Linked DNA regions of Callithrix jacchus. The protein of the gene in region 1 interacts with the protein of each later gene in a pairwise test. Links are inferred from orthologs where the notes say so. Each region holds a gene or a part of one and is shown on either strand. Other genes may lie near its edges.

Region 1 (3,813 bases):
CCAGGCAGTGGGGCCAGCAGTGGGGGAGGAGAAGGGGGACTCAGGCCTTGCTGGAGTTGTACCTGCCTGCTGCTTTGTGGTCTCACACTTGCTCTGGGTGCTTCCGACCCACCTGTTTTGGAATGTCCCACTGCAGTCGCATAGGAGGTGCCAGAGCAGGGTTTGGTTTGCCCAGGCAGTGCCCAGTCTCTGTGTAGCCCAGGTGGAAGCTGTCTGTGCCCAGGACAAACTACAGGGAGAAGATGAGACTGAGAGGCCAGCCTCATCCCCTATGGTCTGCCCTGTAGGTTCCCTCTGCAAGGCTGTTACCTCCCAGAGGTGCCCAATGATGGGAGCGTCTGCCCACGCATGTTCTGCATTGAGACCCAACTGGCCATTCTTGAAGGAAATGAGAGTGAAGGATTTGTCAAACCACCTGCAGGAAGAGTAGATGCATGAAGAGCCAAAGCTTAGAATGTCCGCAGGATCCTGACCTGCAACCCTAACCTTTTTTTTTTTTTGAGACGGAGTTTCGCTCTTGTTACCCAGGCTGGAGTGCAATGGCGCGATCTCGGCTCACCGCAACCTCCGCCTCCTGCGTTCAGGCAGTTCTCCTGCCTCAGCCTCCCGAGTAGCTGGGACTACAGGCGCGCACCACCATGCCCAGCTAATTTTTTGCACTTTTAGTAGAGACGGGGTTTCACCATGTTGACCAGGATGGTCTCGATCTCTTGACCTTGTGATCCACCTGCCTCGGCCTCCCAAAGTGCTGGGATGACAGGCGTGAGCCACCCCGCCCAGCCCGCAACCCTAACCTTTAACCCTAACTTGGATGTTACCTCTAATCCTAGCCCTAATACTAACACAACCCTAATTTCTAGCCCTATTCCTTTTTTTTTTAGATGGAGTCTTGCTCTGTCGCCCAGGCCAGAGTGCAGTGGTACGATCTTGGCTCCCTGCAACCTTCCGGGTTCAAGGGATTCTCCTGCCTCAGCCTCCTGACTAGCTGGGATTACAGGTGCCTGCCACCACGCCCAGCTTCTAACCCTATTCTCTAACCCAAACCCTAACCTTTAACCTTAAGTGCTAACCCTACCTAACCACTAATCCTAATCTTAACTCCTTCTTTTTAAGATGGGGTCTTGCTATGTTGCCCAAGCTGGTCTTGAGCTCCCAAAGTGCTAGGATCACAGGTGTGTGCCACTGCACCCACCCCATAACCCTCCCTTCTTCTATCTTTAATCCTCTAACTGTAACCCTAAGCTGTAACCTGTGGGGCTGGGGATGACCAACCTGTTGTAGCAGTTGCCATGTAGCAGGGCCTTGCCATAGAGGCTGAGGCTGGCCTCATCTTCGGGGTCGTACCAGTAGGACTCCTCATCCAGGGCCACAAAGAAAGCGGCACGCTCGATGGCCTCCAAGGCAGCCTTGTTCTTTCCGGAGCTGAAGAAGGCCTGGCGTGCCTGCGCCCACTCCACCCTGTGGCATGGGGCAGAGTTAAGCAGTGGGCACATGGACTTGGGATGGAGGGTGCATCCGAGGGCCTGGCTGGGTCTGGAGATGGGAGGGTACTAGGCTGGGCCTGCAGGTGGGCAGTGGTGCCAGGCTGGGCCCAGAGGTAGGGGGTGCCAGGCTGGGCCCGGAGGTGGGGGTTCCAAGCTGGGCCCAGAGGTGGGGGGCACCAGGCTGGACCCAGTAGTGGGAGGTGGCAGGCTGGGCCCAGAGATGGGAGGTGCCAGGCTAGGCCTGAAGGTGGGGGTGCCCACCTTGCACACTTCAGGCTGTCTTAGAGGGTGTCCCCTGCCTTGCACACTCCCACCTAGCTGCCACCCGTCAGACGTAGGTTACACTGGCTGTCATGCTATGATTACCACCAATGCCCCTCCCTGGTTGTGCCTCTAGCCCCCAGTTCCAGGGTGGCAGGAAGGGCCATGCTCCTCTCCGCATGGAGACCTGAACCTCGGGGTGAAGACAGTCCCTCCCCACAGGCCGATACCTTCCTCCTGCAGTGAGGGCTGCCAGCTTCTCCTCCCCAGGCTGAGGCGGGGAGGGGTCGTCCAGGATTCTCTGGAATTGCATCTGCAGATCCCGAGGCTGGAGCAGACGGGAGCCCTCATAGAGCCACAGCTTGAAGAAGCGTCCTTTGTGGTAGACAGCCACATGCCGGCTGTCCGAGAGGTGTTGTAGCGTATCTGTGACAGAGATCGGGGCAAGCTGAGGTGGGCCGTGGGAAGCAGCTCATGGCCCCAGGTACATCCTGAGAAAGGTCCACCTCCCATGCGCTAGGTGGCCCCTGCAGACCCCGCTTTGCTCGGCCTCTGCCTGGGCCTTCCTGCCCCCTGGATGGGATCTGTGTGTCCTAAACCAGGACCTGTGCTGGGTGCTTCTGCTGCCTCTCATAACACCAACAACAATCCTATAAAGTATTTCACAGAAGAGGAAACAGAAGCACTAGGAGGTTATGCACATGGCCTGAGGATACAGGGTCAGAAGCAAGGAAGGCTACCGCCTCTGCCAGGCCCCTGGGTGTGCCCTTCCTCTCCTCCTCTGCCAGCTCCATGGCAGCACCAGGCCTATCCTAAGCTCTGGGTTGCAGCAGGACCCCCTTGCGCACACACAGTGAAACCTGGATTGGGGGGCTCTGCTTTGGGCCCTGTGGGGTCCCAACACCAGCAGCATGCCTGCTAATAATAGATGTCTAGTAAATGTCACGAATAGACTACTGTTCGCAGTTTCAGGACCCTGAGACACTGGGGACACTTGGTGATGAGCAGGTAGGAGGGCACCGAGCCAGGTGGGCCATAGGTAGGAGGAAGCGGGCTCCATTACCTGTCTCCTTGCCCGGGATCCGAGTGGTGTTGAACATCCTCTCCATCTGGTAGGAGCACATGGGCACCATGCCCAGTGCCATCACCTAGGGGAAGGCCCAGCATGGCTCAGAGTCAGGTCTCCTCTCCCATCCCACCTTCAATCCTGATGCAACTCACAGGCTTGATTTCTTCACGGTCCAGTTTACGGCGATACATGATCATGGCATGGATGATGTTTCCCAGACGGGCTGCCTGCACGTCTGTATTCCTGATGAGCACAAGGTCCTAAAGAGAAAGCAGAGCCCACAGGGTGGGTGCCTCTGTCGGGGTGGCACCTGGATCTTGCCGACCCAAGGACCAATCTATCTGGGGGCCTGAGGTGTTGTCTCCCTCTTCCAGTCCATCCTGCACATGCTGTGGGGGTGAACCTCCAGAAATGCACAACTGATCACAGTAACCCTCTGCTCCAGCTTCAGCCATCCTGCACATGCTCTGGGGGTGAACCTCCAGAAATGCACAACTGATCACAGTAACCCTCTGCTCCAGCTTCAGCCTGAGCTGCTTTTTTTATTCTTTATTTTTTAGAGTCAGGGTCTTGCTCTGTCACCCAGGCTGGAGTGCAGTGGGGCAAGCATGTCTCATTGCAGCCTCAAATTCCTGGCCCTAAGTGATCCTCCTGCCTCAGCCTCCTGAGTCGCAGGGATGAAAGGCATGCACCACCAAGCCTGGCTCGGAGCTGCCCTTTTATAACCTATTTTATGTGCACGTGTTCTACTTATTTTGCTTTGATAAAGGGGCTCTACCGCTAAAAAGCAGTTTGAAACCTCCGATAGGGACAAGTTGTGTCTAAGTTTCAGGAAGGATAGTTTATGGAGAAGAATTCCAGTAGACTCTCCCGAGTTGAGTGTGCTTCGGACAGTGGAAAAGGGGAGAAGAGGAGGGTCATGCAAGACCCAGAGACTCAGGAGGGCCAGTTACATGGGACAGAGGCAGACTGTGACCTCCTGAGCTCTAAGAGAAGGAG
Region 2 (3,379 bases), on another chromosome or scaffold:
AAGGCACGAGGGTGAGAGCTGTTGAGGGCACTCGCTGAGGGCAGGGTGGGAGCAGACATCCAGCTGGGGCATCACTCACCAGGCTACACTGCCGGGTGCTGCAGAGGGTCTTGCCAGAGTGTGGGCTGACGGCTTCCAAAGCAGATGGCTGCCCCATCACTGCACTCAAGGCCTGGCCTTGCTAATGCTTTCCCAGATGTATATCTTCACACACACGAGTAAGTACCACGGAAAGAGACCTGGGTCTAAAGTAAGCAACTCATCCTAGTTTGCCTGGGGTTTTATGGTTGTAAATATGGAAGTCCGACAACCCAGAAACCCCCTTAGTCCGATGCAAGCCGGGACAGTTGGTTTGCTTAGAGTCCTGCTCCCTGCGCACCCCCAGCCCGCCAGGGGAGAAGGATAATGGCAGCCACGACGTGTGGCTTATCAAGTGCCAGAAGACACCATGCATGATAACCTGCATCGCTTCCCCCTGCCCATACTGCCCCCAGCTGTGCCCAGGCTCTTCTCTGCCTGCACATTTGCCCCTGAATGGGTCAACCTGAGAAACCCTCAGGGGACATTGTTCCCACTCCACCCTCAGACCCCCTGTGCTGTCATCATGTTGCTAACTGCACCCCAAGGGAGGAGGCTGGTGCTTAGAAAGAAACGCTTGCTGGTGATTTATTGCACGGGCTGGGGGAACCATCCAGAGCAGAGGTGGGCAAGAGAGCAGGGGGTGAGGGTCCCAGGGGGCTCTGGAGGCCACTGAACCAGCCCTTCGGGGGTCCCTGTGCGGGGCTCTAATCATAGTTGGGGTCAGCATGGGCCTGGCGTGCCGTGAGGTGGCTGGTCAGATAGTTCATGGCTGAGCGGACGCCCTCCATGGTCCTCTGCTCCACTGTCTCCAGCACGTGGGCGATGGTGCGCAGGGCCGAGCCGGTCCCGGACACCAGCCTGGAGGAGAAGGCCGAGCCGACGCTTCCCAGCATGCTGGAGACCGAGTGCAGGCTGGGCCCCGAGCTGTGCAGCAGGTCTGCCACAGTGCTGTGGTCAGAGGCCAGGAAGCCCGTGGCCACAGCCATGCCCATGGCAGTCTCGGACCACACCAGGATGTCTGCCAGGGAGCTGATGGAGCCCTCACCCCTGCCCAGCAGGCTGGTCATGGAGTACATGTAGCCGTTCTCATCACTGGCCATGTACAGGCTGGGGTCCAGGGGTCTCCTCCCCAGGGCCACCTCTTGGGGGCCAGGTGACGGGAGCACATTGCCTGTTGGAGATGGAGGGAAGAACAAAACCTGTGGGTCTCCTAAGCTGTCCACCACGTTCTCCCCCATGGCCATCGGGGACTCATCGGATGGCAAAGCTTCAGCGTTGGGGTGTGGGGCCTTCAGACACTCAGCTTTCTCCTTTGCAGCCTTGGTGGTGCCAGTGGCCTCAGGGCCATGCTGGCCATCGGCACTGGCTGTGACCTTGTCAGCATCACTCCCAGCCGGCTGAGCCTCCATGTGCTGGGTGGACTGTGGCTCAGCACTAGGGGCAGAGGGGGCTGACTCCCGCTCTCTCCTGGGAACACTCGCCGTTTGTGATGTCTTGTCCTTACCCAGGAGGTGACCCGGGAAAACCACTAGACTCTGACTTGTCCTTGTGTCTTGAACTAGCGTGTCCCACGCTGGATTCTGGAGGCTCATAGACATTTGCTGGGGACCTGGGTTTTGGCTGGGAAGCAGGGCTGTGATTTTTCTAGGTGTCTTCTGGTCATGTTCTGGAACAACTGCACCCTTGTCTTTGTCCCCAGATGTTGACATGGCCTCCGGAGTGGTTGTCTGGAAGGAGGCCTGATCAACATCCTGCTGGTCTGTGGATGCGGCAGAGCTGCTCACCACCAAGACATCTGCTGTGAGTGGGACCTGACCTTGGGGCCCTCCTGCTGGGATGTCCTTAGAAGTGTTGTCAGCCACGTTGCCTGGGGGGACCCCGGAAGTGCCATGTGTGGGGCTGCTGGTGGTGCTGGCCTCTACGGAGGGCTCTCCTGTGGTCATCTATGCTCTTTGCTACTTGTGGCAGTTGGAGGGAGTGGCTGCAGCCCAGCTGGGCTGGGTTGTCCAGGTGGCGAGGTCACAAGGGACTGGTCACTGGTGATGTCACAGGTACCTGTAGAGCAAGGGTCCTGAGCCTCTGGAGCAGCCTTCCAAGTGGGCTGAGTCTATGGGACAATTTGTCACCAACTTTGCAGGTATATAGGAAAAAAATGTCTTGGAAAGGGCTGGAGGGGTGTATACAGGGACAAGTACAGCCACAGGCCTGCAGGAGGAGTGAGAGCTGGGACTTTGACAGATGAGAAGGGATGCAGATGTTGACTCAGAATCAGTGTTGGCCTGGCACGGTGGCTCACGCATGTAATTCCAACACTTTAGGAGGCTGAGGCGGGCGGATCACCTGAGGTTGGGAGTTCAAGACCAGCCTGACCAACATGGAGAAACCCTGTCTTTACTAAAAATACAGAATTAGTTGGGCATGGTGGCAGATGCCTGTAATCTCAGCTACTAGGGAGCCTGAGGCAGGAGAATCGCTTGAACCTGGGAGGCGGAGATTGCGGTGAGCCGAGATTGCGCCATTGCTCTCCAGCCTGGGCAACAAGAGTGAAACTCCATCTCAAAAAAATAAAAAAATAGAATCAGTGTTTATAAGGGATCCCTCCTGGCACCTCTCTGTCTACTCTGGAGCCTCAAGACCCCAATTTAAGCTGGGCATGGTGGCTCATGCCTGTAATCGGCACTTTGGGAGGCTGAGGCAGGTAGATCACCTGAGGTCAGGAGTTTGAGACCAGCCTGGCTAAGATGGTGAAACCCTGTCTCTACTAAAAGTACAGAAATTAGCCTGGCATGGTGGTGGGTGCCTGTAATCCCTACTCGGAAGGCTGAGGCAAGAGAATCACTTGAATCCAGGAAGTAGAGGTTGTAGTGAGCTGAGATCACACCATTGCACTCCAGCCCGGGCAGAAGCAGACTCTGTCTCAAAAAAGAAAACGAAATTAAGAAAGACCCTAATTTAATCAGTTTCCTGCAGGGAATCATTTTCCCAGCAGTGAGAGTAGGAATAAGCAAAAGCCAAGGGCCTGGGCAGCTCCTGACCAGCTGTGGCTGCAGGGTTAACCCTTTTGATGTAGGGAAAAAATCTCCATCTTCTCCTTGCCCAACCGGTCTGGGAGGGCAGAGAATAACAAAAGGTCTACAGACCTCTGAGTATTCCTCAGAAAAGGATAACGCCGGATAAACTTACTTCTGCCTATGGTCATTAAGAAGATGGTTGGAGGAGGCCAGGCACAGGCACGGTGGCTCACGCCTGTAATCCCAGCACTTTGGGAGGCCGAGGTGGGTGGATCACGAGGTCAAGA

The links.
Region 2: the proteins of CPT1B (region 1) and TEX44 interact in binary tests that used the Homo sapiens proteins (3 or more experiments, as listed by UniProt). The two-hybrid records come from large-scale screens. The link is inferred for Callithrix jacchus from reciprocal best matches to the Homo sapiens genes CPT1B and TEX44.

Annotation. Positions count from the first base shown.
Region 1 is NC_133502.1:219,152,959-219,156,771, forward strand, and holds part of CPT1B (carnitine O-palmitoyltransferase 1, muscle isoform), read right to left. Parts: intron 3,075-3,813; coding exon 2,967-3,074; intron 2,894-2,966; coding exon 2,809-2,893; intron 2,172-2,808; coding exon 1,976-2,171; intron 1,459-1,975; coding exon 1,273-1,458; intron 416-1,272; coding exon 310-415; intron 230-309; coding exon 113-229; intron 1-112. UniProt on the Homo sapiens protein: Catalyzes the transfer of the acyl group of long-chain fatty acid-CoA conjugates onto carnitine, an essential step for the mitochondrial uptake of long-chain fatty acids and their subsequent beta-oxidation in the mitochondrion.
Region 2 is NC_133507.1:153,024,846-153,028,224, reverse strand, and holds TEX44 (testis-expressed protein 44), read right to left. Parts: upstream 2,061-3,379; 5' UTR 2,025-2,060; coding exon 786-2,024; 3' UTR 628-785; downstream 1-627.